4 linked regions of the Elephas maximus indicus genome follow. The protein of the gene in region 1 interacts with the protein of each later gene in a pairwise test. Links are inferred from orthologs where the notes say so. Each region holds a gene or a part of one and is shown in the gene's direction. Other genes may lie near its edges. The genes, in order: CCNDBP1, PSMB10, myelin P2 protein and AMPD2.

Region 1 (7,250 bases):
GAATCTACATTTACATGTCTATTCCCGGTGTAGCTTTTACAACCCAGAGAAATATGGAGGAAGGGAGCAGATACTTAGATGGATAGTTAGGACATCAGATGCAACACAGAGATTAGCAAAGAAGAAAAGCCTGGCAAATAAAATGCTTATAGATTTAAGTAGTCTCATATCTTTTCATTATTCCTGTAATGCATCTCATAGATGTATGTAATCAGAGTCATAATTATATAATCTCCTTTCCTATCCATTGCCTCTTTTAGGACCATGGTTTGTTGGTGAAATCATTACAGGCAAATTGGGTTGCTGCTTTTCTTTTGGGATCTTTGTTGATGGACATTTCCTACAAGGCAGCTTAACATTTGTAGTTGGAATTCTCCAGGTAAGAAGTTGGAAATGCAATTTAAGAACATCTTGGCCTTGTTGGACTAATTGCATTACAGTTATGAATTACCCCCCAAATCTGAAATGAAATGCTGTGGATCATCTTTCCGACTTTGCAGTCAGGGCAGTCTTTAATAACTGGTGTTCTGTTTGTATTTAGAGTGCTTCCTAAGTGCTTTCTTCCACCACTCTCTTGTAAACATCTAAAATAGATTTTTGGAAGGCAGGATTTGTAAGAGGTGAAAGAGATTTTTGTTGCTGTTACTTGTTTCATTTTGCTTTTTCATTGACAGAAGATGAAATAAGGGTCTAATAGTAGAATAAATGATAGAGTTCACACTAAATCAAAATTGATTATGATTAATAAAGAACGAAAATGTTTCAGGAAGAAGAAAGTAAAAATAGACACACAAGAAAAGTGGCTTATTTATCCAATGGAAATGGCACTGGGCAAAAACGAGACCTGGGCTTTCCCATGGTGTCTTAGCAGGGTACCTGCATGGGAAATGCTGATAGATTAGGTATACATTTGGATTAAGAGTCCTTTAAAACACACAAAGAGCCCTGACCCATAGCAAATCTCCATAAACAGATTTCAAAAGTATTTACCTAGTTCTTTATTTTACTCATCTGATGGCGCTAGACCAACAAGCCAGACCTGGTGGCTCAGTGGTTAAAATGCTTGACTGCTAACCAAAAGGTGGCAGTTTGAACCTACCAGCCGTTCTACCTAGCGGTCTGCTTCTGTAACAATTTACAGCCTTGGAAACTCTATAGGGCAATTCTGCTCTGTCCTACTGGGTCACTAGGAGTCGGAATCAACTCAACAGCAGTGGGTTTGGTTTTTTGTTTAATGAGGTAAAACCAAACTCGTTGCCACTGAGTCAGTTCCAAGTCACAGCAACCCTATAGGACAGAGTGGAACCGCCCCACAGGGTTTCCAAGGAGTGGCAGGTGGATTCAAACTGCCGACCTTTTGGTTCGCATCCGAGCTCTTAACCACTGTACCTGGACCAGAATCTGAGGTGGTAATCTGAAGTTTTGGAAGAGATCAAAAAACATGGTTCACAATGAGTTCAAAGCCTCATACCAGGGCAGTAAAACAAGATGAGCAGGATTGGAGACAGTCAAATAGGCAAGACCTTGGCCTAGCAAACACTGAGCCTAGGCTAGAACATTCCCTGCATGGCAGCATTGTATATGTGAGAAGGTCCTAGGTCCAGTTTAGTTTCCATTATGTAGATGGAGGCTGGATCTCGGGAGCACTCTTTTACCAAGTAAAACCAGAACTTTGCCAAAAGACTTCTTTCTCTTTGTAAATGTTTACATTCATAGTTTAATAAATAGTACACTAATAAATGGATTTTATGCATCATACAGGTTCATGACTCCCAAATCTGTATCTCTGGCTTAGACCTCTTCTCTGCAGTTCAAGTGCCTGTATATTCGACTGTCATTTCAGATCTTCCCTTAGATGTCTAACAGACATCTCAATATTATGTCTCTAATAGAACCTTTAATTTTCATCCCCAAACCTGTTCCTCTCTTGGTTCTTTCCAATTTCAATAAATGGCGCCACCATTCATCCAGTTTCTCCAGGGTGTATCCTCAGTTCTTCCCCTTCCCTCATGTGCTATATCTAGTCCATCAGCAAGTTGTACCTTGTTTGGTCTACCTCCAATATACACCGTGAGTCTATACACTTCTCACCATCTCTGCTGCCACCAACCTAGTCATAATTATGGCTTCCCTGGGCTACTATACTGACCCCTCACTGCTCTTCTTACTCCTGCTCTTGCTCCCCTACTGTCAGTTCACCACAAAGCATCCAATGTGATCTTTTTAAGACCTGAATCAGCTCACTCACTTCTCAGAGTATAACCCTTTAAGCAGAGCAGTGACATTATCTGGGCCCTACTGTCTGCTCCAATCTACACCTGGTTGGTCATTCTCCAGACACATTGGCCTTAAAGGCCTCCCCCACCTTTGGGCTTTTTATTTGTTCCTTCTGCCTGGAATGCATGTCCCTCCACTGATTCATTCCTGTCCTCAGGCCTCAGAGAGGTCATCTCCCAGTTACTTTCATGACCAGTTCTTTCTTTCATTGAACTTACCACAACCAGTTATCTTTTTTTTTTTTCAGTCTCTCTTCTCCCTGTTAGAATGTAAGCTCCATAGTGGATCTTTTCAGACTTGCTCACTCATGTGTCCAAAACTGAGAGCGTAGTACAGTGCCTTCCACATAATGAGTGCCCAGTAATTACTTTTTGAATAAATGAATGAATCGTAACAGCACCTAAGCTTGTATTAAAGCTTCTAATTTGTATTCCAGCACTCATGCCGCCTCAAATAGAGATAAGGAAAAAAAATACTGATACCCAAGTTCCCATCAACCAAAAAAAAAAAAAAGTTAGAGCCTATATATATATATATATATGTGTGTGTGTGTACACATGAGTATAAACACACACATACACATACTCAATTCAACTTAAACTCTATTGAGTATCTGCTGTTATGTGGTAGTGGAGATTTCAACATAAATGACACCTGCCTTTAAGATGAACAAAAGGACACAGGCAAATACAAAACTAACTATAGTATAAGTGAACTGTTGTATAATATGCAAGTGATCAAAGGAGAGAATCAGAGAACTAACTAACCCCAAGAGAAAAGGCAACATTCTTGGGAGCTACCAATAATGTATTAAGGATACCTACCCCTCCAAGGCGTGGTAGAAAGCTAATGGTTCTCCTCTGCTCCTCTTTGCAGCTGGTGTTTTTTAACATCCCCTTGATGACTTACCTGTCCTGGAGCTTGTTGCAGCGGTGCTTTGGTCACAACTTCAGATCTCATCTCCACCAAGGAAAATACTTGAAAATTGTACCTGTTCACCTACTTATGCTACTACTGTACGTTTGGCAGGTCTACTCCTGCTACTTCCTTCACGTGACGTATGGCACCCTAGCTTTTTTCTTCTCCCCTTTGCGGACCTGGTTGACACTGCTGACACCCATTCTCATTCGTTGTGTGTGGACACTGAACCCCACTGAGCTTGGAACCTTCATTGTGCAGTTAAAAAGCCACCTGAGCTCCTGAAGGCCATGCCTCCCCATGAGCAGCTGGGCCCAGCTCAGCTCCACCTCTAGTGAAGCAGGTGGAGAGCCAGTGCTGGTGGCAGAGCTTCGTGGAGCTGCAGCTTTTTGGACACCTGGGAGTTAAAGGGACTACCCACTACTGATTGCTGCAGAATGGACTGGAGGAAAATCTCTAATTAATGCTGTGATTTCTTTCTTCCTCAAGAATGCAAAAGGTTGATTGACCTTTGTGAAGAGAAAGCCCTAATCTAGGAGATCCTCAGGGTGGATCCACAGGCTGGGTGTATGTATGGGAGCATCTGAGGCCCAGGGTGTTTACGTTACCCCACATAAAGCACCTAGTACAGTGCTTGGCACTCAGCAGTTGCCAGAGGTGCCACTTCAGGGGCAGGGAACTTGGAACTTGGACCTGACCCTAACTGCCCTTCAGATGTTAGCTCCTAGCCCTGTTTTCCTGCAGGGTTATGGTTCTCAGCTTCCTTAGTCGGGGGTGTTTTCAGTTAATCAAATAAATGAATGAATCAATGAGGAATCAATATGGCTCTTGCGTGTTGTGGCCTGGCCTTAGGCGGGGAGGGGCGGGCGCGGTTTAGCATCAGGCAGCGGGAGGAGGCGTGGCCTGGCGCCTGGGGGCGGGAGGAAGGCGGGGCCTGTCTTCGGAGAGTGACTGCTGACGTGGACACGTGGCTCGGCCTCTGAAGTGATAGGGGCGAGGCAGCGCTCCCGGGGCGGGGCGTGAAGGGTTGTTGCCGGAAGCGGACCTCAGTTTGTGGCTCCCGGAAGTGGGGTGGCTTCCGCAGTGCGTCTCTGGTACCGGCGGTGGCGACGTTTGTAGTCACCAGGCAAGCGACTGAGATGGCAAGCACAGCTGCCCCTGCAGCCGCCTTCCCCACCCTGGCTCCGCCTTTGGAGCAGCTCCGGCACTTGGCAGTGGAGCTGCGGTCGCTCATGCCTGGAGTGCGGGGTGAGCTGACGCCGTTGCGGGGCGATGACAGGCGGGTTGGGACTGGGGAGAGAGCAGGCTGGGGCGGTGGCGGCGGTCGGGGCGGAGGAGGTGGGGGGCAGAGCTGGCTCCGCTTACTCCAGCTTTTCTTTTGCCCCCGCCCGGCCCCCACGCGCCACACCCACAAGTCGGCGAAGCGCAGGAGACCACCGAGGAGTTCAATCGGGAGAAGTTTTGGAGGAGACTCAGTGAGTGCTAGTCTTGGCGTCCCCATCCCTTACCTCTTCCGTTTATCCTTGGGCCCTTCTGCACCCTGAGCTGCGTCCCAACCCCTTTCCCTCCCACTCTCCCTCAGGGAGGTGACCACGCTCCCCCGCCGTATCCTCAGCGTGGGGGTACCTCTCCTTACCCTTCCTCGGCAGTGATTTTTGGAGGTGTTTTTGAGACGCCTCAGCCGGCAAGGGTGAAGAGGGAACGCATTGTCTTTGACGTCTGCGAGCAGCTGCAGCCTTGTTTTGGCACTAACACATTGGCACCTGCCTCCTCTTCCACCCTGCAGACGAGGCGGCTGTGAAAGTGGCCAGCGAAGCCACGACTCTGACCACAGCCTTCTCCAGACTTCCGCTGCCGTCTCCACAGGTGGGCTTCACTTCCCCAGTTTCCTTGTGCTGCCTCCTTCCCACCTTTTACACTCAAGCCAGGGGACTTAATTCCCTCATCTGCCAAATGGGATTACAGTTCTTACCTTAAAGGATTGTTGTGAAGACCAAATACGGCAATGCGCGTAAAATTGCCAGGTGCGCTACATGGTGGGGAGTAGACAGGTCTTCTAAATATTGGTTCAATTTAAAGTCCAGCCTGGTTCGTTCATTTCTGATAACTTTTTTAAAAAAGCACTTACAGCTTGCTGGGTGTTTTCACATACATAGCCCTCCTCCGACAGATGAACAAGCAGGCTCAGACGCTCATGTTAGGGTAAATAAGCAGTGAGGCCGGGATTAAGTTGGGGTCTGTCTGTTGTCAAAGCTACATCTTTTCTGCTGTACTACATAAAACCCTTTTTGAATTTTTATTTTATTGTGATTTAGGTGAAAGTTTACATAGCAAAGAGTTTTTCATTAAATAATACGCATATTGTTTTGTGACGTTGGTTGCCAACCCCACAATGTGTCAACACTCTCCCCTTCTCCACCCCAGGTTCCCTGTTTCCATTCATCCAGTTTTCCTGAACTATTTTAATTTTTTATACTGAATTAGTAACATGTATATGGTATGAAATTAAAAAGATATCAAAGTATGCTAAAATGTTTATATCTCACAACTCCAGTTTCTCGTTTTTGCCTCCCCCCCAGTTCTTTTTGTATTTTTCCATATTTATTCTGTGCATATACACATTCATGTACACATGCTTTTTACACAAATGTAACTTGTAACTATAACGAGTGCTGTGGTGAATTACCTGGTACAATCTGTGTGTGCGTATGCATATTGGTAGAAAAAAAATTCCCAGAAGTGGCATTACTAGAACAAAGAATTATACACTTTAACACTTTATTATATTATAAAACTAATGAAAATAAACATGTAGGCTGGGACCAGGTATGCCCAGTTTTTCTAGAGCTAAGTATGCCTATTTGGGGGGTAAGATTATTTAAAAGTGGCATACTCATTGACTTACTTCATTCTCATGGTCAGTAGTTTCAGTCTCCGATGCTTTGAAATGATACATTCTTTCACTGAACCCACAATGATAAACCCCCTCCTCATACCTCAGAGATCTGTGTTGAGGAAACGGGATGACTCGGAGTACAGCACTTTAAAAGCTTCGTGGAAGAAAGTCAATATTTCTATCAAAGGAACTAGCAGTATTACCTTTTTTCCTCTTATATGCAGATTCCTTTCTTTCATATACACTTAGGACTTGCCAAAATTCATAGCTAGTAAGATCCCATGAGGAGGCAACATAGAACTATTTTTCTGTACATGCTCAGTACAGTGATTTTACTCATGGGTGAAAATTTAAATTTAGAATTTGGTTTTATTTGAACGACATATATAAGGAATCTCAGCATCTTAGTCCTGTAGTTTAAAATACACTGAATACTGATACACTGAAAACTACGGAGTTGAATGAGCTCTCGTGGTTTTGAGCAGCGATCATTCAGATGAGGAATATCACCCATTATGGACTGATAGATATTTTTAGAAAACTGTGTGCTTGGATGTTACACAATGTCAAATTGCCATGAAAGTGCCTAAATACTTATTCTCAATCACTGTATTTATATCATCCTGGACTGGTAATAAACAGTTTGTGGATTGGCACCAACCTGTGGGCCACACCTGGCATAGCACGGGCTTAGAACTTAGCAGATTAAGTGAAGACAAGGAAGGTAGGAGAAAGCCAGTGACTGCTTTAGAGGAAGAGAGTCAACATTGAACATTGCTGAGTCCATGTGATTCTATTAAAACAAAGGAGAGAATGAGGGTGGGGAGATATAATGGTCTAAGACAGGAGTTGGCAAATAGTAGATAATTGTGTTCCAGTAATACAGTGAAACCTGTCAGAGCCAGAACTCAACAGGACTGCCTTGTTTTTCTAGGCCTTGCAAGTTTTCTGCCTTTCACAGGGTGCAGCCTTACCACTTTTCTCTCGCTTGGTTTATTGGAAAAAAATTGAGTTTTCCTCTCTGACAGGTTTCCACCTTACACAGGTTCCAGCTTTTGCAGGTTTTACTGTACTTTACTTACAAAACTTGGCAGTAGGCTTGATTTGGCCTGTGGGCTATAGTTTGCCAGATCTTGGTCTAAGATATGGTGAGTACTTC
Region 2 (7,006 bases), on another chromosome or scaffold:
CTTTCCAGAGGCAGGGGTCAATGACCCTGGCCCCTGCGCCTTCTGCTCCTGAGGGGAGCCCAGGCTTTGGGCTACTGGGGGGGAGGGGGAGGGGAAATTGGAAAGAAGATCAGTGTCCTAAGTGTCTGGGGGTTGAGGGCAGGGGAGACCTAGGTGTGGGGCTGGGGACTGCAGTATCTGGGGCTAAGAATCGGTGGGGGCCATGAGGGATCCAAGGGGTCCGGTGCCCGCAGTGCCTGGCTGCCTGGGGAATCAGCTAGAAGCCAAGCTGGACAAACCGGACGTGGTGAACTGGATGTGCTACCGCAAGACAGAGGACTTCTTCACCATCTGGCTGGATCTCAATATGTTCCTGCCCCTTGGAGTGGACTGCTGGATTGATAATACCAGGTGCATGCCATCCCCTCCACCCCAGCCCTCATGCCCTGCCCTTGGCTATTGGCGTGCTGAATGTCCTGCTACCCACAGGGTTGTCTACAACCGAAGCTCTGGGCATGTGTCCAATGCCCCTGGTGTGCAGATCCGTGTCCCGGGCTTTGGCAAGACATACTCTGTTGAGTACCTGGATAAGAACAAGCTGGCAGGTGTGTGTATTGGGGAAAAGGGCAGGGGCTCTGGGAGCCAGAGCCAGAGCTCTCAATGCTGCTGCTGCTCCCACAGGTTACATGCACACGCTGGTGCAGAATCTAGTCAACAATGGCTACGTGCGGGATGAGACAGTGCGGGCTGCCCCCTATGACTGGCGGCTGGAACCCAGTGAGTGTCTCTATGAGTGTCAGGCTTGGGCTGGGGCGAGTGATCCCTGACACTGAAGGCCCTGACCCCACCTACCACCGGCAGGTCAGCAGGGAGAGTATTACCAGAAGCTCACTGGGCTGGTGGAAGAGATGCATGCGGCCTACGGGAAGCCCGTCTTCCTCATCGGGCACAGCCTCGGCTGCTTGCACTTGCTCTACTTCTTGCTGCAACAGCCCCAGTCCTGGAAGGACCGATTCATCGATGGCTTCATCTCTCTTGGGGCCCCCTGGGGTGGCTCCATCAAGCCCATGCTGGTCCTGGCTTCAGGTGAGTGGCGTGTTTACCCACATCCTGACCATAAGCCTGCCCCCACTCCAGCTTCTGTTCATGATGCCATCCCAGGCTGGCCTCTAGAAGTATTGCCTCCTTTCCCTGGGGCCCTGGCATGGGTACCCCAGAGCAATGAGCTGGGCCTGGACCACGAGGATGGTTCCTTCCAGAGTGACAGGGATGACAAAGGGGAGATAAACCCAGAGGAAGCAACCCCCAGCAACTTTAATCATAACCTGAGGTTGTTCCCTGTCCCCCACGGCCTACCCTCCCCGCTTTCAACTGCCTTCTGCTCTCAAGAGCCCCTTTGCCCAGGGATCTGCCCTACTAAGGGCCAGGCCCTAGGAGCCCCTCCTGCCCTTCCCTGAGGAATGGCACTAGGGACCCAGCACTGACATCACTGCTACCTGTTGGGCACAGCCAGACTCAGCCTTTCCCCTAGAAGCTCACAGTCTGGTGGGGGAAACAGACATGCATCAGGTAATCACACCAATAAATGCCAAATAGACAGGGTCTCATTGCCTCCTTCCCAGGCACAACTCTGGTCCTGTGTAGCACAAGCCGCAGAGTCCAACAGACACTTGTCTGAGGGGAAGGAACCAGCGCTACCAGCCCACCATCATTCACACCCATCCTCAGGACACCCCTCCCTGCCTTCCTTTTGAGGCCACACAGAGGTGCCATCAGGACTTCTTGTTTAATAAGCACACATTGAGCACCTACTGAATGCCAGAGCTGTTCTGGTCTATGGCTTGGAGCCGATGTCTGTTTTGGGCAGTGACAAGATTCAGGATCCAGCTGAGCCTGGGCTGGGGGCAGAATGTGAGTTAGGGGTGGCCCAGCCTGGTTTCCTGCCCACCTTGCTCCATATCCACAGGCGACAACCAGGGCATCCCAATCATGTCCAGCATCAAGCTGAGAGAGGAGCAGCGAATGACAACCACCTCCCCCTGGATGTTTCCATCCCGCCTGGCGTGGCCTGAGGACCATATATTCATTTCCACACCCAGCTTCAACTACACAGGCCGTGACTTCCAGCGCTTCTTTGTGGACATGCACTTTGAGGAAGGCTGGTACATGTGGCTACAGTCACGTGACCTGCTGGCAGGGCTCCCAGCCCCTGGGGTGGAAGTGTACTGTCTGTACGGTGTAGGCCTGCCCACGCCTCACACCTACATCTATGACCACGGCTTCCCCTACACGGACCCTGTGGCTGCACTCTATGAGGATGGTGATGACACAGTAGCCACACGCAGTACTGAGCTCTGTGGCCGCTGGAAGGGTCGTCAGCCGCAACCTGTGCACCTGCTGCCCCTGCACGGGATACAGCACCTAAACATGGTCTTCAGCAACCAGACGCTGGAGCATATCAATGCAATCCTGCAGGGCGCCTACCGAAGTGGCTCCAGCCCAAGGTCCCTGCACCCTGAATAAACCTGCCTTTGCTGCTTTAAGCCCAAAGGTGTGTGTTGTGGGTTAAGGGGGAAACACTAGGGTCCACACATCAGGATTCCCTCATCATCGGCCAAAGGCCAGAAGCTTTGTGGAATATGGGGCAAGCTGGGCTCTATAAAACTGGGACTGAACAAGGCACCTACTCTCCAGGTGAACTGTTTGGGCATGGAGACTGAAGCCAGCTGTACACCCAGCATGGGACGGGGGCACATGGAGCCTGGGGTGCACAGAGATGAGAGCTGGCCCTGCCGGCACCCAGAAGGGCAAGACACCTCTAGACAGGGCCTTTTGAGCACCTGCTATGTGGAGGACAGAAGCACAAGAGTTTAGACTCTGGTGGGGAGGTGACAGCCATTAATCAGATCAGTTCCCTGATGAAGGGTTAATTGTAAATGGAGCTAAGTCCTTTGAGAGAAAAGTATAGGAGGAGTAAGAGTCACCTACAAGAACCTGATTGAGCCTTGAGGGTCAAGAAGGCTTCCCAGAGGAGGTGGTGCCAATGCTGAGGTCAGAGGGATGAGGTCAACATGGGCCACTGAAGTCTTGGGCTTAAGCCTAAGAGCAGAGCGCAGCTGTTGTTGTTAGGTGCCATCGAGTCAGTTCTGACACGTAGCAACCCTACGCACAAGAGAACGAAACACTACCCGGTCCTGAGCCATCCTTACAATCGTTGTTATGCTTGAGCTCATTGTTGTAGCCACTGTGTCAATCCACCTCGTTGAGGGTCTTCCTCTTTTCTGCTGACCCTGTACTCTGCCAAACATGATGTCCTTCTCCAGGGACTGATCCCTCCTGACAACATGTCCAAAGTATGTAAGATGCAGTCTTGCCATCCTTGCTTCTAAGGAGCATTCTGGCTATACTTCTTCTGAGACCGATTTGTTCTTTTGGCAGTCCATGGTATATTCAATATTCCTCGCCAACACCACAATTCAAAGGTGTCAATTCTTTGGTCTTCCTGTCTGTCAGTTTGTTGTACTGCGGGGGCTTGCATGTTGCTGTGATGCTGGAAGCTATGCCACCAGTATTCAGATACCAGCAGGGTTACCCATGGAGGACAGGTTTCAGCTGAGCTTCCAGACTAAGACGGACTAGGAAGAAGGACCTGGCAGTCTACTGCTGAAAAGCATTAGCCAGTGAAAACCTTATGAATAGCAGTGCAGCTGTAGAAGGGTTTTAACCACGGAAAGGTATGGAGCCATGTATGATGCTGTCCTTAGGCCAGTAACAATCCAAACGGATCTGGTCCATGGTCTGACAGCCTTAGCAGTTAAGGCTAGAGTTAGGGTTAGGGTAGGCACACCTGGGCTCTAGACTGGAAGGGGGAGGAGGAGCTCAACACAGGCTCAACTGTTCAATGGCCAGAGGAGCTGGGGTTTACCCCTCTCTGCTCTGAGGACACAGGGAGCAGGGGCTTCCCCGGATTCCCAAGCTGCCTTGAACCGGCTGAAGGTGAAAGTGAAAGACGATGCAGAAAGGGGCCAGTGGCCTCTGAAGAAAGGTGAAAACGAAAGCAGGAAGCGTCAGACGTTGCGCCCTAGCCCTAAGCCGGTCTCACTCCCACCGGCCTCGCCCCACTCCTCTGATCTATTGACCTATAGTTCCTGGACCACCCAGCCCGCCCGGAGATGCTGCAACCAGCTCTGGAGCCCCGAGGGGGCTTCTCCTTCGAAAACTGCCAGAGGTGTGTGTGGGGAGGGGCCGGTCCCGCGCAGCCGATCCCCGCCATGGGAGGGGCTGGTCCCGCGCCCCCCGCCCCCCGCCCCGATCCGGCCGTAAGAGCTTCGGAGGGTAGGGCCCCAGGGTTTTTTTTCCCCTGGTGGTAGTACTGGTGGGGAAACATGGGCATGACTCGGTTCCCAGGCTTACCCCAGGAAGAGGGAGTCCAGGACGGGCTTGGGGGGTTGGAGAATTGGGGTTGGGGAATCTTGGAAGAACCGAAACTCGGGCCACCACCTCCCTTTCCAGAAACGCATCCTTAGAACGCCTGCTCCCGGAGCTCCGGGCCCCTCATGCACGCAAGACCGGGACTACCATCGCGGGCCTTGTTTTCCGGGTGAGAGGGAGGGCAGGCTGGGGGGAACCCGGAACAGCGGCCGGGGGACCGGCCGAACACTGAGTCAGCGGTCCTTCAATCCTCGTAGGACGGGGTCATCCTGGGCGCGGACACGAGGGCCACTAACGACTCGGTCGTGGCAGACAAGAACTGCGAGAAGATCCACTTCATCGCCCCCAAAATCTAGTGAGGACCCTCCCAGCCCTGTTCCCCCACGCAAAAACCACCCCTCGTCTCCACGCCCCGTCCCTTGCATATTAGAGCACTACCCACACCAGCCCTCCCTTCGCCCTCAGCTGCTGTGGGGCTGGAGTTGCCGCAGACACCCAGATGACCACGCGGATGGCGGCGTCCAACATGGAACTACACGCGCTGTCTACGGGCCGCGAGCCCCGCGTGGCCACGGTCACCCGCGTTCTGCGCCAGACGCTCTTTCGGTGCTGGGGGCGGGGCCAAGACTACCTGGGGACCGGGCCGTCAGGGGAAGGACGGGGCTAAGAGGTGGGGCAGGAGAGAGGGGTGTCGGGAGACCGGAAGAGGCCGGCCTAAGACGAGACGGTCAACAGGAAGGAGCGATGACAGTCATGGGGCACCGGACCACGGGGAGGGGCTGGACTAGAATGGAGGGGCGGGGTCTGGGTTCCAAAATCTGCGGGTGATGACGCCCACTCCGTCGGCAGGTACCGCGGTCACGTGGGCGCGTCGTTGATCGTGGGGGGTGTAGACGTTAAAGGACCGCAGCTTTACAGCGTGCATCCACATGGATCCTACAGTCGTCTGCCCTTCGCGGCCCTGGGTGAGCGCTTGCGTCCCTTCTCCACGATCCCCGCCCCTGCGACCCTGGCCTCTCGTTTGCACCTTTCCCCCACTGGGCGGCCGCGGCTGATCTCAGATGCCTCTCCCCCTGTAGGCTCCGGCCAGGACGCGGCCATGGCAATGCTGGAGGACCGGTTCCAGCCGAATATGACGGTGAGCGACCCCTGTCCTCCCACCGCGGAGTCACTGGTGGGAAGTGCATCCGGGTGTTGGGGGAGCCCAGAGGGACGCTGGCCCGGTGTGGAGGTTGGGGAAGGGTTCTTGGAGAAGGTGACTTCTGAGTGGAGACTGAGGGACGAGCAGAGTGTGGGGTGAAGGGTAAGTGCCATCCAGACAGAATACCGGCCAGTGCCAAAGGCTGGACAGTCCCGAGGATTCGAAGCTCAAGAGAGGTTCATTTGACTGTAGCGGAGGGAGGAGGGGACGGCCAGTGGGGCCTTATACGAAGTCTGGAGTGTGGATTTTGTTTGGGGTGGGAAAAAAAAAAAAAAAAGTAGATGATATATGTCTTGAAAGAGGTGGCTAAGGCCCAGGGAGGGAAACGCAGTGAGCTCATGCATTGGGACTAAAAATAGGTTGAGTGGCGACAGGCTGGTAGTAGCTGGGCAGCGAGTATAGACGGCTCTGTAAAGCTTGTAAAGAGAGGTGACAGTGGGCAGAGGGAACATGGGGTCTTAGGAGAGAAGAAAGCTGAAACTCAGGGAGGAGGGATGTCAGGGGAGAGAAGAGACTGGATGCAGTGAATGGCAAATAGTCAATGTTTAGGAATTACCAAAGTCCTCAGGCTGTGGCCTGAGCATGACACCAAAAGGGCACATCAGGCCTCAAATATCCATCATCACAGCTGGAGGATGCACAGGGGCTCCTGGTAGAAGCTATCACTGCAGGGATCCTGGGTGACCTGGGCTCAGGGGGCAGTGTGGATGCATGTGTCATCACCTGGACTGGTGCCAGGCTGCTGCGGACACTGAGCTCACCCACAGAGCCCATAAAGAGGTGAGAACAGGCAGGTGGGGAATACAGGGGAGGCTAAGGTGGGGATAAGCAGGGAAGCCAGGGGCCTGCAAGGAGAGGATGGGGCCACATTATGGGCCCATGTTGAGAGGCTGGCCCCCCTGTCTCCAGACCGGGCAGGTACCACTTTGCTCCTGGGACCACGCCTGTCCTGACCCAGATGGTAAGGCCACTGACCCTGGAGCTTCTGGAGGAAACCGTTCAGGCCATGGAGGTGGAGTGAAGTAAGCTGAGGCTCAGAGCTTGAAACAAGGAAGAATAAAACCAGAAAATGCAAATACCTAAACAGAGAGCTGTGGTGTTCTTGGGTAGAGACGGGCAGGCAGCCAGCAGGGCCTGGTGGCCAGTGGGTCCCTGGAGCAGCCATCCCTTCCACAACTCCAGCACCTGTTCTAAAAGCGCCCTTCCCTATCACCTCAGGTGCCCATCCCTCTAGGAACCCAGCCCTGGCAAGCACTGCAGGTTGAAGGTGGAAAGCTCACATCTTGTTGCCTCCAAAACTTCGCTTTTGACTCTCCACAGCACAGAGGCTCCCCTCTGCCACTCCCCTACCTTGCTCTTGCTCCCTAGTCTACTGGGGACTGTTGTAAAACCCAA
Region 3 (7,874 bases), on another chromosome or scaffold:
GTTTGTATGCACCCATGCATTTGTGTGAGTTAGAATTTTGGTCTAATTTTGGTTTTTCTCTAGCTCTGTCCAGGACCCTCTATTGTGATCCCTGTCAGAGAAGTCACTGCTGGTAGCCAGGCACCATCTAGTTGTGCTTGACTTAGTCTAATAGAGGCTATTGAAATTGCGGTCCATCAGTCATTTGGACTAATCTTTCTCTTGTGTTTTTGGTTTTCTTCATTCTCTGTATGGGGCTGTTCTACCCTGTCTTATAGGGTTGCTATGAGTCAGAATCGACTTGACGACAGTGGGTTTGGTTTGGTTTTTTTGGTCATTCTCCCTTGCTCCAGATGGGGTGAGACCAGTAGAGTGTCTTTGATGGCTGCTTACAAGCTTTTAAGGCCTCAGACGCCACTTGCCAAGGTAGAATGTAGAACATTTTCTTCGTCAACTATGTTATGCCAGTTGAGCTAGAAGTTTCCTGAGATCATGGTCCTCATAGCCCTCAGCCCAATTATTCAGTCTTTCAGGGAGTTTGTATGTGTCTATGGAGCTTCCATGACCTTCCCTTGGAAAGTTGTGCTGGCTTCCCCAGTATTGTGAATTCTCTTACCCTTCACAGAAGTCATCATTCATTTTTATAAAGTGTTTTGGAGAAGAAACACACATTCACTAATCAAAACCCTTTTTAAAAAATAACTGTTTTCTCTGTCCAAGTTCAATATGCCCCTCCAGTTACATTCTCTTGGGGCTGGGAGTGGGTTAGCTGGTTAGCTCAGGAATTTTTCTATTTATTGTTTCATGCTCACTTTAAGTTATTCATGCACTAGTAATGTAAGATGAGATTTGGGCCCACAGTATATAATGTTGCATTTTGACCTGGCTTGTATCCTAACCACATAATTACAATAGCTATGACACAGCATGACACTGGCAAGCTGAGACCTTGAAGCCAATGATTCTATTTGTTATGAGCAAATTGACCAGGAGATATTTTCATTGCTGTGAAAAGTGCCAACCTGTGTACTAAATATAAAAACCTGGGAGGTGGGGCCAAGACGGCAGAGTACTCAGACGCTTCCTGTGGTCCCTCTTACAAAAAAGACCTCAAAAAACAAGTGAATCGATTATATATGACAATCTAGGAGCCCTGAACATCAAAGGCAAAGTTGAGGAATCAGACTTAGAGGCAGAGGGAGGGAGAGAAAGTTCAGAAGCAGCAAGGAGCTGCCAGACCTGACCCAGCGGGAACTGGCACCCTGCAGGCTGGATCACCTGGCATGCGAGGGAAGGCAAGCAGTGACACACAGGACGCATTTTCCACATCAGGAGAGGCTGAATGGTGAAGAGTCCACTCGAGCCTCCAGAACCAGTGAAAAGCAGCACTCAATAAGCAAAAGATAAGTACATGTGTCTAACCTACCAAGTGGATCAGAAAACACCCCTTTTGGGAAGAACCTCTCTCCCATTTACCTGCCGACTCTGCACTGGGTCCTGGACTGGGTTCAATGATTGTTGTGCCCCTGGGCCAGAAGTAGGACCCATCGCGTGCGCTGAGCCATTTTCCTGGCTTTGGAGAGGGAACAAATTAGCAAACAAGAAAGAATAATCTTTCAGCTTCCCTAAGCCAGGAACTCAGGGCAGACACAGCCCCTTTGCCTAGCCACAGGCATAAGGGGTCCATAGACTTTGAATGCCTTTCACCTCTGCATAGAACTGTGAGGGCCCATCTCAACAGAGAAGGCCCTCATTAGCACAGTACAACAGGGTATATACCTGAAGTCTAATTTCAACCGTATCAGCTATAAGCTGGAGTGGCAGATTCAAGACATTTGACATCACTCCACCCATTAAGCAGGGCCTTCACCTACCCACATCAGGGGCCTGGGGATTGGTGACTCCACCCACACCACCTAGCCACCTGCGATGGGGCCCAAGAATAAGCGGTTCCACCTAGTCCTTACAGCCAACAGCATTGGGTGCCCATAATCCAGCTGCAAAACCCACCCACCTATGTGCTGTAGGGAACAGGGACATGCTTTCCTCCCAGACACTCAAGGGGAGGTGTCAGCCCCCTGCCTTGCTCAGTGTATGACTAAAGCCTACTGCAGCCAGATACCTGTGCCTACTTCAATCACCCCTGCCCATCTAGAAATATAAGTGAGAACCTGTACCACACACTTGGTGACCCACTACCTGGACACCTGAGCTGAATCCATACAAGAAAAGTAAGTGGACTCATTGGCTCACATACATTTTAACAGCTCTAACCACCTGGCAACAGGATGTGAGAGCTTCAAACCTTTGATAATCAAACTAACTCTCGCAACCAGCCTATTTGGGCATATCAAAACAATACAAAACTAGAAGCTAGGACACAGTATGCAAACATAAAATAAATAAATATAATAACTTATTGATGGCTCAGAGACAACAGTCAATATTAAATCACATGAAGAGGCAGACCATGATGGCTTCAGCAAGTGTCGAAGACAAAGAATCAAGAAATCTTCCAGAGGAAGATAACTTGGAATTACCAGAGGTAAAATTGAAAAGATTAATATACAGAGCTCTTCAAGAGATCAGGAAGGAGATCAGGCAAAACACAGAACAAGGCAAGGAACAAGCAGACAAAGCAATAAAGGAAGTTAATAAGGTTATACGAGAGCATAAAGACAAATTTAACAGGCTGCAAGAATTCATAGAGAGACAGCAAACAGAAACCCAGAAGATTAACAGTAAAATTTCAGAATTAGACAATTCAATTGAAAGTAATAGGAGCAGAATGAGGCAATGGAAGGCAGAATCAGTGAGATTGAAGATAAAGCACTTGATATCAACTTATTTGAGGAAAAATCAGATAAAAGAATTTTGAAAAAATGAAGAAACCCTAAGAATTATGGGGGACTGTATCAAGAGGAATAACCTACAAGTGATTGGGGTACCAGAAAATGGGGGGATAACAGAAAATACAGAGAAAATTGTTGAAAATTTGTTGGCAGAAAATCTCCCTGATATCATGAAAGATGAGAAGATATCTATCCAAGAATCTCATCAAACCCCACACAAGGGGTTGATCCCAAAAGAAAGTCACCAAGACATATTACAATCAAATTTGCCAAAACCGAAGATAGAGAATTTAAGAGCAGCTAGGGATAAATGAAAGTCATCTACAAAGAAGAGCCAATAAGACTAAGCTTGGACTACTCAGCAGAAACCATACAGGCAATAAAGCAATGGTTGACATATATTAAACTTTGAAGGAAAAAAAAAATTGCCAGCCAAGGGTTATATATCCAGCAAAACTAACTCTCAAATATGATGGACAAATCAGGGCATTTCCAGATAAACAGAAGTTTAGAGAATTTGCAAAAACCAAAACAAAATTGCAAAAAATACTAAAAGGAGTCCTCCAGTTAGAAAATCAATCTCATATAACAACCCAAGACTAGAACACAGGACAGAACCACCAGATAGCAACCAAGATAGGGAAGTCACAAATAAATTAAAGCTGAAACACCAAAAATAGGGAAACAGAGAAGTCAATATGTAAAATATGACATTAAATAAATGTAAAACCCTGGTAATGTCAGTTGTCTCATAGCCATGACTAAAGCTAACATTGAAAACCTGCTAGTCCCCCTGGTCAAGCCTGGCACTCTGGCGCACCATAACAGCCTGGCGGCTTCAGCTCTTGATTTTTACCTTTCTTGATTAGTGAGCAGAGAATGAGTGTCTCTAGCTAGTCATAGTGATGCCAGGGTAACCTATTCTTTGGCTGGGGCCTCTGTGCATGTATGGTGGACAGGGAGCAGTGTAAGAGAGCAGTTCAGATTCTGGGTTCTGGGGCACAAAGCCAGGTTCAAATTGTGCTTCTTCCCATTCAGGTCTTGGGATCTTGAGCAAATGATGTAAACTCGCTGGGCTCTGGTTTTCTCATTGGTAGAACTGACACAATAATAGCACCCAACTCTTGGAGTTAACTGTGATGATTAAATGAGATAGTGTGTATTAAGCACTTAGCACAGTGCCTCGCACATAATGAGCTCTCAGTATACGTTAGCATTGTTATTACTGATAATCCTTTCTCTTTGTAAAACATTAGATTTATCTAAAATGACTTAAGTAACTCAACATTGTTAAATTAACTAAAAGCTGCTTAGTTATGACTTAAGGTTTTTTTTTTTTTTGATAGATGAAAATCTTTGCTGTGGCCAAAGAGCATGTCATAGTGCTACTCCTTGTCCGGATACATGAATAGAATTTCTGTCTTCTACTGCAATAGACCGACCTCATTGTCTGCCTACTCTGCCTGCCTGGATATGTGAACTATGTCAAGCCTCCCTTACCTATGAATACTTCCTCACACTGCTCCCTTGCATTTCTCTCCCACACCATATTTGAGGAGTTTATCACAATAGTCATGGTCATTTTTCCTCTTTTTTCCCTTTTAATAAGAATTCCTAATTGTGCCAACTCAAGATTGAGAGTGACCAAGATGCCTAAGCACACAGAGACATACATACATTCACTGATACTGGCACAATTTAGCCTGGCATAGGATTTAATTCATGGAGTCTTTTCCAAAGCATTAAGAACCCAAGCACTTCTTATAAATATAAAGTCAACCAAATGTTTTTTGAAGGTTCAAATAGCTCTCTCATTCATTTTTATAATTTTTATAAAAAAGACAGAGGCGGCATTATGTGGGGCTATCTTTTGTCCTAATGAATGGGCAGCTGATGATTGAAGAGCCATTCATTGCCCAGTCCTGACACTGCCTTTCCCCATTGGGTCTCTGTGAGAGTCACATGTTTGGGGCATCTTTGAAAAGAATCTTGAAATGAGCCTGGACACCTCACTTGAGTCTCCCGAGTCCCAGCTAGAACTGTGGTGAACAGTCATCCACCACAATGTGCAAAAAATTCCTGGGCACCTGGAAACTTGTCTCCAGTGAGAACTTTGATGAGTACATGAAAGCTCTGGGTAAGAAATTGTTCTTTGTAATTTTGGCTGAGATCTTTTTTTTTTTTTTAGAAGATCCTTTTGGATAAAGTTGGATGATTATTTCCTTCTAACTCCTTTTCCAGGAGTCTGGGGAAGTATGCATAGGCTGAAGTACCATCGTCTTCAGGGGTTAACATTCTGTTGGGTCATTCAACTAATTTATTTGCATTTTGTTTGTGGCAATTTTACTAGGTTTTAACCTAAGAGAGCTGCTTAAGTGCATGAGATCCCCACTGATTTCAACTGCAGTTCCATATCAATCAGGCTTTGGTTTCAGACCAGAGGACAGAAATTTTAGAAGCTTAGTCAGCCCGTTCCCAGGTTTTTCTAATAGCTAGTTTTATAGCAACTTATGTGCTCATAAAGTTCAGTATATTGAAGATACTCGGAAGTTCCAATTTTAAATTTTGATGTTTAGCTTAACTAAAATTTAGTCTCCTCTCTCTACTTCTAGGTTGTCCATTATTACATACTCACATAGATACAGAGAGTTTGAAGAAGAAAAAAATGCTTCCAAAAGTAGGAAGTTCATAGCCTAAGGGAGTTACTGAGAGAGAGTTAGAGTAGTTGGTACGGTTGAAGACTCAGTCACTAGTTAACATCAATTTTATTTTATACTATTTCCAGCGAATGGTCCACATATTTGAACACAACAGATGTGAAGACCCTTCGGAAATTTTCAGAGCTGTATAAATGTAAAAGTGATGCCAATGACCTTGGGTTGCCATGCTTGTCAAAGTGCCTGTAATTTTACTTACCTGTTCAGAAAGTTTATCCAAGAGGTTCTATTTTTAGGTAAAATGAGCAAAATCATGTCTTTGTTGCCTGGAAAGCTATGAAAGCTTTTGGGGATAGAGCCATACTGTGAGGTTGATTAGATTTATGGACTTCATTTTGCAGCTGAGGAAGAAGCAAAGTATAAGACAGTCTCAGTAAGAGACTTCCTAATTCAGTTGTGTCCAAATTTTAGAGTTCACAAGAAAACTTGTTAAATGCAGATTCTCAGGCTCTAATCCAGAGATTCTGATTTAATTGGAGAAATGCTTTCCTATATCACATGAAATAACAAAAGCTTAACCAGGATTAGAAGAACACTTGAGTCATAGTTCCTATGAGCTGTAACTCTTCAAGTTTTTTTTAGCATATATATATTTTTTTTTTTATATTTTTTTAATAGGGGGAAGTAAATCTAAGCATTGGGACTTCCAACAGGAGCCTTAAAACCCTTTGCCGTTGAGTCAATTCTGACTCATAGCGACCTTATAGGACAGAGTAGAACTGCTCCATATGGTTTCCAAGGAAGGCCTGGTGAATTTGAACTGGCAACCTTTTTGGTTAGCGGCTGTAGCTCTAAACCACTGCACCTCTAGGGTTTCCATAACAGGAGCCTTAGGAGGCTTGGGAAACTAGTTTTTCTTTTATGTATTTTTCTCATTTGACATTTTGCCTTTTCCATGGATTTCTGTAGTCTTGTGTAATAATAGTAAGAAAACACAAGTTTACTTTTGTTTTATTTTTCAAATGCAGGCTTTTTAAAAATAATTTGATTTATCTATGTTCATTTCCAACTGTATATATCTTGAGGCTAGATGGAGAGTTTTTTTCCAACCAGAGAGACTTAGGAAGCCACACACACACAAAAAAACGAAGTGAGATTCTATCATGGATGATGGGAGAGTTCTCTATACCCATAATATATGACAAGGGGAAAAAATATCACAGAACAGTGTGTGTATATGTCATGGTTTCACTTTTCAACATATACCTATTATATATCTATAATATTTGTTTTCCCCAACTAAAATGATCTGCACAAAACTACAGTTAGTGATTTTCAATGGTAAGTGGGGCCATATATGGAAAAAATGTACAACTTGTACGATTTAGGCTGAACGGTCTCTTCAAAAATCTTCAAGTGTTACAATGGACATGCATTTTTATTAACTGATGAAATATGGGGAAGACCTTCAGTAATAAGCCATATTGCCTGTCATCTGACACCTGAGACACAAATGAGAACAAAATGTGGCTATGCATGATCTCTCCTGGTATGTTGTCTCAGTCAACACAATTCTAACACTATCTTGATTTTTCAGGTGTGGGGTTAGCCACCAGAAAACTGGGAAATTTGGCCAAGCCCAGAGTGATCATCAGCAAGAAAGGGGACATTATAACTATAAGAACAGAAAGTACCTTTAAAAATACAGAGATCTCCTTCAAGCTAGGTCAGGAATTTGAAGAAACCACAGCTGATAATAGGAAAACAAAGGTAAGCTTTAAAGGTCTTTGCAAAGTTTGCTCAGTCTACTGTTTGAGAGAAAGTATTATTCCTTCTAGTGTTCCAAAAGGTAGACTCCCTTTTAGAATTAACGTGCCACATGAGACTTCCATTATGAAAATGATTCAATATTCAATGATTTGTTTCTTTTATCAACTAGACACCACGCAGGCCAATTATGTGAACATGTCTTTACAGAGCATTGTAACCTTGGAGAGAGGCTCACTGAATCACGTACAGAAATGGGATGGCAAAGAGACAACAATAAAGAGAAAGTTAGTGGACGGAAAAATGGTTGTGGTAAGAGTGTTTTCACTTCTGAATACAGAAGAATGTTATTCACATAGGAAAACTAGTTATATTATTTTCTAAATATTCTTTTTTCTTAGGAATACAAGTGGATAAAAATAACTAAGAATAAAGTCAGAGTTAAAGAAAAAAAAAATGCCTAGGTGATATTTAAACCATAAAGACTCTCATCTTGAAGTACTTGAAGTAGTGGCCCAAGATATTAGACATAATAAAGGCCTAAATCAGGTAGTAAAGTTAAAGAAAGTATGGATAAATTTCATTAATTTTGATTCACAAAGAGAAAAGAAAGTTTGAA
Region 4 (6,957 bases), on another chromosome or scaffold:
AGTAAAAGTTTACAATTCAAGTCAGTTTCTCATTCAAAAATTTATACACACATTGTTATGTGATCCTAGTTGCTCTCCCTGTAATGTGACAGCACACTCCTCCTCTCTACGTGTATTTCCCGTGTCCATTCAGCCAGCTCCTGTCCCCCTCTGCCTTCTCATCTGGCATCTGGACAGGAGCTACCCACATAGTCTCATGTGTCTACTTGAGCTAAGAAGCACATTCCTCACCAGTATCATTTTATGTCTTATAGTCCAGTCTAATCATTGTCTGAAGAGTTGGGTTTGGGAATGGTTTTAGTTTTGGGCTGGCAGAGAGTCGGGGGGCCATGTCTTCTCGTGTCCCTCCAGTCTCAGTCAGACCATTAAGTCTGGTCTTTTTACTAGAATTTGAGTTCTGCACCCCACTTTTCTACTGCTCCATCAGGGACTCTCTGTTGTGTTCCGTCAGGGCAGTCATTGGTGGTAGCCAGGCACCATCTAGTTCTTCTGGTCTCAAGCTGATGGAGTCTCTGGTTTATGTGGCCCCCCCCTTTTTTTTTTTATTAAGAGCAATTTTTCAAGGTCAAATAATATGAACCTTTTTAAGACTCTTGATTACATATTGCTAAATGGCTTTCAGGGATATTATATCAATGTTTAGACCTGCCAGTAGTGTATGTGTGTGCCCCATCTCACTAATATTCTAGAGTAAAATCATCACAAAGTTCAGTAAAGCAAAAAGAAAAGTTTTACTTGGCATATAGTCCAAGAGACAAAAGTAGGAAATGGATAAGCATGCTGCTAGAGGCATGTCTGCCCAAGTCTGAGGAAATATTACAGAATAAGCAAAAGTGGGAAAATGCACAAGAATGCTGCTAGAGCCATGTCTGTCTGAGTCCAAGTTATGGAATCATCAATATATATTAACATTACAAACGGGCAAAAACCATTGAAAGCTTCACCTTTTCAAAGATCGGCTAGAAACTGCTGAATCTCCGAAATCCTACGTTTTGAATTGTCTTCATCAACAATCATTGGTACAGGTTTCAGCAACAGGGGAGTCTTCATTGGTCCAACAAATCTTACTATTCACTAAATGCTAATAGAAGAAGAGTGGAAAGTATATGGGTCTTTTGTGCTGTGTTTTATGATTTGTTTATGTGAAAGTTTCCTTAAAAGATGTTTTCCAAGATTGTTCTAGCTATTGTATTTATACCTCAGGGCCCAGTTGATGTGTCCTTGTGGGTCCTTGTGAGTCCAGCTCCAGCTGGGTCACATTCTAAGACTGGGAATAATGGCTCCAATATTATCTCCTAAATCATGTTGTAGGGTAAAAACATCACAATGTTAGTAAAGCAAAAAGAAAGCTTTATTTGGCATACATTCCAAGATGCAAAAGTGGGAAATGGACAAGCACGCTGCTAGAGCCACATCTGCTGAGTAACAGGCAAGAATGGGAAAACACAACCACGCTGCCAGAGCCATGTCTGCCCAAGTCCAAGGAACAGAATCATCAGTATATATTGACCTTACAAAATAGGCAAAATCTTTCAAAGCTCCACCTTTTCACAGACTGACTAAACACTGTTAAGTAATTCTACATTTCCAATTGTCTTTCTTAACAATCTTTAGTACAGGTTTCAGTAATGAGGAAAGTCTGGAGGTTTTATTGGTCTGACAAATCTTACTATTCACTAAATGCTAACAGAAAAAGATTAGTGGAAACAGAACTTTTGTGTTCTGTTTATGATTGGTTTATATGAAAGTTTCCCTGAAAGATGTTTTCTAAGACTGTCCTAGCTATTGTCTTTATACCTCAGGGCCCAGTTTGATGTGTCCTTGTGAGTCTAGCTCCAGCTGGGTCACATTTTAGGACAGGGAATAAACGACTCCAATATTATCTCCTAAATCAATCACTAACTACACCCTTGCCAGCATTTGGATTATCTTTTTCTTAATGCTTGCTAATTTGGTAGTATTTCTTTGTTTCATTGATTCCTTGTGAGGTGAACATATATTTTCTGTGTTATGGAGGCCATGGAGTTTTGTTTATCTGACGTGAGGAGTAGTAGGCAGGGGATCAATGGAGGCGGTGCTAGATGCAGGTAGAGAACAGGGTTCAGGGTCCAGAATGCAGCCAGGTGGGGGAGGGAGTTTGGGAAAAAGGACTTTGGCTGTGGTGGTAGTGAGAACTGGGAGGAGCTGGATAGACAGCATTAGTACAAGTAGGTGTAGGGGGCAAAGGACTCTCACAAGCGGGAACTTGTCCTGTCCTCTCTTAGAAGAAACTGTTGTAACTGCTGATAACACAATTATATTCAGCAAGGTCATATGAATTTAATCCCTCCTCACGCGAGTTTCCTTTAGGTAGCCTTGTCTGCCACTTGGGGGTGGGGGTGCTGGTTGGATGGAGTACCTGCAGCTCCCCAAATCGTCCAACTTCACTTCTTTACAGGCGGTAAGGTGAATCAGTGTGTCAGAGGGTGGAAGGGGAACCAAGGTAAAAGACATGACAGTGATAACTACAGGCCAGGCACCGTTCTGAGCACTTTACATGTATTACGTCATTTATCCTAATAATCTTCAGATACTTGTACACTCATGTTACAAGGAAAATGGAAGTACAGAGAAGTAACTTGGCCAACGTCAGTCAGGCAGTGGGTGGAGAAGCCTGGATTTGAACCCAGGCAATTTGGCCACAGAGCCTATGCTCGTCACCACCAAATACAGAAATAAATGTGGAAAGGGGAGCCAGAATTGCAGGGCACACCCTCCCTACCTACGCCTGTCAGAAAAAAGCTGATGACCTAGAGTGGGAATGCTGGGCTACCACTTCTGCTTAAAGTAAATCCTGGGATAACAGCTACCTTTTATTGGGCGCTTTGTGCTAGGCCCTGTGCAAATATGGGCTTTATCTTTAATCTTCACAATACCCCTTTGAGTGACGTACTATTATCATCCATTACCATCTTACTGATTATTATTACCATCTTACTGATGAGGAAGCTGACCCATGGAAAGTTCAGGGACTTGCCCAAGACCCGGGAACCAAGTCGCCAAGCCCTGCGGTCGCTGCCCACGTGGCGCCGGCAAGAGAAAAAATGGCGCGGGTGGGGCTGGGGCTGGCCCGGCGGCGGCGGACCGAGCGGGGGCGGGGCCTGGGGCCGCAAAGACCGGCTAGGCGTGGGCGGGTTTTTGGCGGGGTCGCACCTGTTGCGTGATTCCCTCACAGTCCATCTGCCGGCCCCGACCCTGGTACCCAGAGAGTGTTCAGGAGCCTGGACGAGTTCCAGGCCCCGCTCCCTGGGCAGCACGTGGCTTGCCCGCCTCTGTCGCTGGGCTGGGGGCCTGGACTCCGGGGTCCCCCGAGGCCATTCCAGCCGCCGAGATCGGCCGGGATCTGCCTCCTGCTAGCTGGCAGTTTTGAAAGGCTACCTTACTTCTTCCACCTCAGTGCCAGAGCAGGAGCCCTTGGAGCGTCTTGACGAGGGTCTCGGCCCCAGCCTCCCCTCCTCCCTCCTAACCCAGGCTTCCCGGCTCCGCAGACCCTCGCGGGGAGCCTCCCCCGTGCCCCTTGGGGCTTGGGCAGCATGGCCTCAGGTGAGTGTGTGTGCGTGTGTTGGGAGGAGGGTCCTGGGGATGGCAAGGGTGACAGGCGGTTGGGGGTCTCAGCACAGCCTGCAGAACCTAGGGAAGCCATCAGCTCCCCCTGCGGGGGGGAGGGGTTTAGGGAAGGAGCGCGTGAGTGTGGAAAGACAGAGGGAAAAGTCAGAAGCAGCTGGGGTCTCTTTCCCAGACCCCCAGACAAGCCCCCTCCTCCTGTCTTCCTAGAGGGTAGCTTCTGCCCGACAGTGGAATTTTCCCAAGACCGGCCCCTCCTTACCGGGCTGAGATTCTCCGTTCTACCCACACCCTCCTCCCGACCTGGGCTACCACTGGAGCTGGGGATCAGATAGAGAAAAAAAGGGGGCTCTGTCCCAGAGGGGCTAGGTTTTCAAAGAGAAGTGCCCCAGTACGCCTGCCTTGGGAGGAACGTGTTCTCAGCTTGGAGGCGGGGACTGGATCGTGTTTTTTTTTTTTCTCCGGGACTGGCTGGACCAGCCAACCTGGACTTTGGCTCCTTTGCCCTGGAGTCCTGGCAAGGGGTGAGGGTTCCTGAGGGGTGGGTTGAGAGCTGGGGACTGGCTTTTTCCCCCAACCCCCCGAGTCGGGCCACCATCAGTCACATCACTCCAGGAATTGAGGAGGGGAGGGAGCGGAGGGATAAGGGGCGGGATGGAGACCCCACTCCCCGAGGTTGCCTAGACAACACCAGAAATCATGGCCAGGGCCTCTTCCGCCCGCCGGGCCGCTGCTTCCTGCATCAGTCACTCCCGCTGGGGGCGGAGCGTAGGAAAGGGTTGGATGTGGCAAAGCGAGGCCCCAGCCGGAGCCATTCAGGCTCCCCGCGCATTGTCGCCGCGGCCCCAGCCATGGCATCCTATCCATCTGGCCCCAGCAAGCCCAAGGCCAAGTATCCCTTTAAGAAGCGGGCCAGCCTGCAGGCCTCAGCCGCAGTACCAGGTGAGTCTGCTTCCCGGCCAGGAGGCACCTCTTTCCCTACCACCTCTAGCCCAGACCACTGGCCCCTCAGAGAGGGATTCCCCTTCTCCGGTACCCACTCTGCAGACTTGCCCCTCGATCCCAGGAACAGCTGGCTTGGAAGGTCGTGTGTATAGGATGGTGGGGTGGGGGGTGACTGAGGTTTCTGTGTCGGGGATGCTGTCCTCTGTTAACAAGGAGTTGGTGTGGGTGCAGCAAGAAGTATGTATGCACACGTGTCAGTGTGTGGAGTGTGTGAATGGATTGGGGGTGTGTGGTGTTCCGACTGGCCACACCGACTGGTGGCTGTGCCTTCCCAGGTAGGCTCAGGCTTCCTCCTGCAGCTAGCTCCGCTTTCTAGGACCCCAGACCCAGAACCTACTGGCTGGGGGTCTGACGTTAGGGCAGACCATCGCTGGCAGGCATCTTGGAGCTGGGAAGCTCAGCTTTGTGGCTGTATGGTTTGCTCGTTCCTGGTCTGTGTATGAGCCTCCTCATGGGGATAGGGTTCCATGAGTCAGGCATGTGTGGGGGTTCAAGCGGGGGCTGCAGCTGTGCTGCGTGTGCTCCTGCACCCTTTGGTTCGGCTTCCACTCTGGGAGCATCTCTGCACCATTTGGAGCAGGCAGTGCGGTGCGGCAGTGATCTCCCTGAAGGCTCAGTTGCCTGGGCCTGTGCCTGCTGAGGGATAGAGTCTGCCTGCTGCCTGGTGCCCCCAGGCCCTTGTGGTTGAGGAAGGACCCACCCCCATTTTGGCAACAAGGTCAAGCCAACTCCCTCAGCAGGTGCCTGTACCTATAGCTTGAACATCTCCCATCTGTATTTTGTATGCCACTGAAGATGCCTGGCCTGAGGCCTGTACTGTGTTGAGGGTCATGTTTATCTGTGCCCAGTTCTTTGCCATCCAAAAGGTATGTCCGCTGGGGCTAGATCTATACCAGTTGCTGAACCAGAGACCTTGGGTGAGAGCATCTGGTACTCTTCAGCACGCTTGGCAGTGAGAGAGGGGCTCCTGGTGAAGAGAGGAGATGGGTGGCCAGGATCTTGGAGTTAGTGGGAGTGGCTGGGGAGTAGCTGTGCATGGACTGGTGGGGTTGGGCCCCTCTGGCCTTTGGTTGACCCTCCCCCTGTGTGACTGTGAGTATGGGAGTATATGTGTGTGTGGTGCTGTAACCGGCAACCTCCAGCAGAGGAACTGGGAAAAGGGACCCAGCTGGCAGTTGAGTCTTCTATGCCCTGGCCCCACAGAGTTTGGAGATTACCCACCCGGTGCCATGGCAGGTTTGTGGAAGGCTCTGGCTGTCCTTGTCACCCCCATGATAGTTGTGGGGCCCCAGGCTATCCCATTTGGAGAGGGGGCTGAGAATTGGGCCTTCAGCTCCCATATTGCTGACCCAAAACAGAACAGCCATGAGGTTTATGGTCTGCCTCCCCTTGAGCGGGTTGGAAGTGGCCTGGGGCTGTATTTGGGGAGCAGGTATGTAGGATCAGGGTTCTTAGGCAAGCAAGGACCTTTGGCTCTGCCCGACACCCTGGGGGCAGGGCTGTTGTTAGGTATGGTGGAGTTGGTTCCAACTCACAGTGACCCTATGTACAACAGAACGAAACACTGCCCGATCCTGTGCCATCCTCACAATCATTGTTATGTTTGAGCCCATTGTTGCAGCCACTGTCAATCCATCTCATTGAGGGTCTTTTTTTCTTTTGCATACCCTCTACTTTACCAAGCATGATGTCCTTCTCCAGGGACTGGTCCTCCTGATAACATGTCCAAAGAACGTGAAATGAGTCTCACCATCCTCACTTTTAAGGAGCATTTTGGCTGTACCACTTCCAAGTCAGATTTGTTTGTACTTCTGGCAGTCCATGGCATATTCAGTATTCTTTGTCAATACATAATTCCAAGGCATCGATTCTTCTTCGGTCTTCCTTATTCATAGTCCAGCTTTCTCGTGCATATGAGGCAGTTGAAAATACCATGGCTTGAGTCAGGTGCACCTTAGTCTTCAGGGTGGCATCTTTGCTTTTTAACATTTTAAAGAGGTCTTTTGCAGCAGATTTGCCCAATGCAATGTGTTGTTTGATTTCTCGATTGCTGCTTCCATGGCCGTTGATTATGGATCCAAGTAAAATGAAATCCTTGACAACTGCAGTCTTTTCTCCGTTTGTTGTAGTGTTACTTACTGGTCTAGTTATGAGGATTTTTATTTTCTTTACGTTGAGATGTAATCCATAGTGAAGGCTGTAGTCTTTGATCTTCATCAAAAAGTGCTCTGAGTCCTCTTTGCTTTCAGCAAGCAAGGTTGTGTCATCTGCATATTGCAGGTTGTTGAGTTTTTCTTTATTCTTGATGCCATGTTCTTCTTCACATAGTCCAGTTATATGAAGGGCAGG

What was found.
Region 2: the proteins of CCNDBP1 (region 1) and PSMB10 interact in binary tests that used the Homo sapiens proteins (3 or more experiments, as listed by UniProt). The two-hybrid records come from large-scale screens. The link is inferred for Elephas maximus indicus from reciprocal best matches to the Homo sapiens genes CCNDBP1 and PSMB10.
Region 3: the proteins of CCNDBP1 (region 1) and myelin P2 protein interact in binary tests that used the Homo sapiens proteins (3 or more experiments, as listed by UniProt). The two-hybrid records come from large-scale screens. The link is inferred for Elephas maximus indicus from reciprocal best matches to the Homo sapiens genes CCNDBP1 and PMP2.
Region 4: the proteins of CCNDBP1 (region 1) and AMPD2 interact in binary tests that used the Homo sapiens proteins (3 or more experiments, as listed by UniProt). The two-hybrid records come from large-scale screens. The link is inferred for Elephas maximus indicus from reciprocal best matches to the Homo sapiens genes CCNDBP1 and AMPD2.

Annotation. Positions count from the first base shown.
Region 1 is NC_064828.1:12,855,083-12,862,332, reverse strand, and holds the start of CCNDBP1 (cyclin-D1-binding protein 1), read left to right. Parts: upstream 1-4,242; 5' UTR 4,243-4,334; coding exon 4,335-4,443; intron 4,444-4,610; coding exon 4,611-4,670; intron 4,671-4,981; coding exon 4,982-5,061; intron 5,062-7,250. Other genes in the region: TMEM62 (transmembrane protein 62), read left to right, coding at 261-379, 3,154-3,480. UniProt on the Homo sapiens protein: May negatively regulate cell cycle progression. May act at least in part via inhibition of the cyclin-D1/CDK4 complex, thereby preventing phosphorylation of RB1 and blocking E2F-dependent transcription.
Region 2 is NC_064839.1:34,375,222-34,382,227, reverse strand, and holds PSMB10 (proteasome subunit beta type-10), read left to right. Parts: upstream 1-4,000; 5' UTR 4,001-4,151; coding exon 4,152-4,207; intron 4,208-4,491; coding exon 4,492-4,579; intron 4,580-4,667; coding exon 4,668-4,765; intron 4,766-4,875; coding exon 4,876-5,016; intron 5,017-5,259; coding exon 5,260-5,375; intron 5,376-5,489; coding exon 5,490-5,548; intron 5,549-6,239; coding exon 6,240-6,391; intron 6,392-6,520; coding exon 6,521-6,632; coding exon of another isoform or gene 6,633-6,637; 3' UTR 6,638-6,695; downstream 6,696-7,006. Other genes in the region: LCAT (phosphatidylcholine-sterol acyltransferase), read left to right, coding at 234-584, 661-756, 841-1,065, 1,946-2,502. UniProt on the Homo sapiens protein: The proteasome is a multicatalytic proteinase complex which is characterized by its ability to cleave peptides with Arg, Phe, Tyr, Leu, and Glu adjacent to the leaving group at neutral or slightly basic pH.
Region 3 is NC_064833.1:60,096,433-60,104,306, forward strand, and holds the start of myelin P2 protein, read left to right. Parts: upstream 1-4,858; 5' UTR 4,859-4,895; coding exon 4,896-4,968; intron 4,969-7,085; coding exon 7,086-7,258; intron 7,259-7,465; coding exon 7,466-7,567; intron 7,568-7,874.
Region 4 is NC_064821.1:171,939,215-171,946,171, reverse strand, and holds the start of AMPD2 (AMP deaminase 2), read left to right. Parts: upstream 1-3,939; 5' UTR 3,940-4,386; coding exon of another isoform or gene 4,387-4,454; coding exon 4,455-4,545; intron 4,546-6,957. UniProt on the Homo sapiens protein: AMP deaminase plays a critical role in energy metabolism. Catalyzes the deamination of AMP to IMP and plays an important role in the purine nucleotide cycle.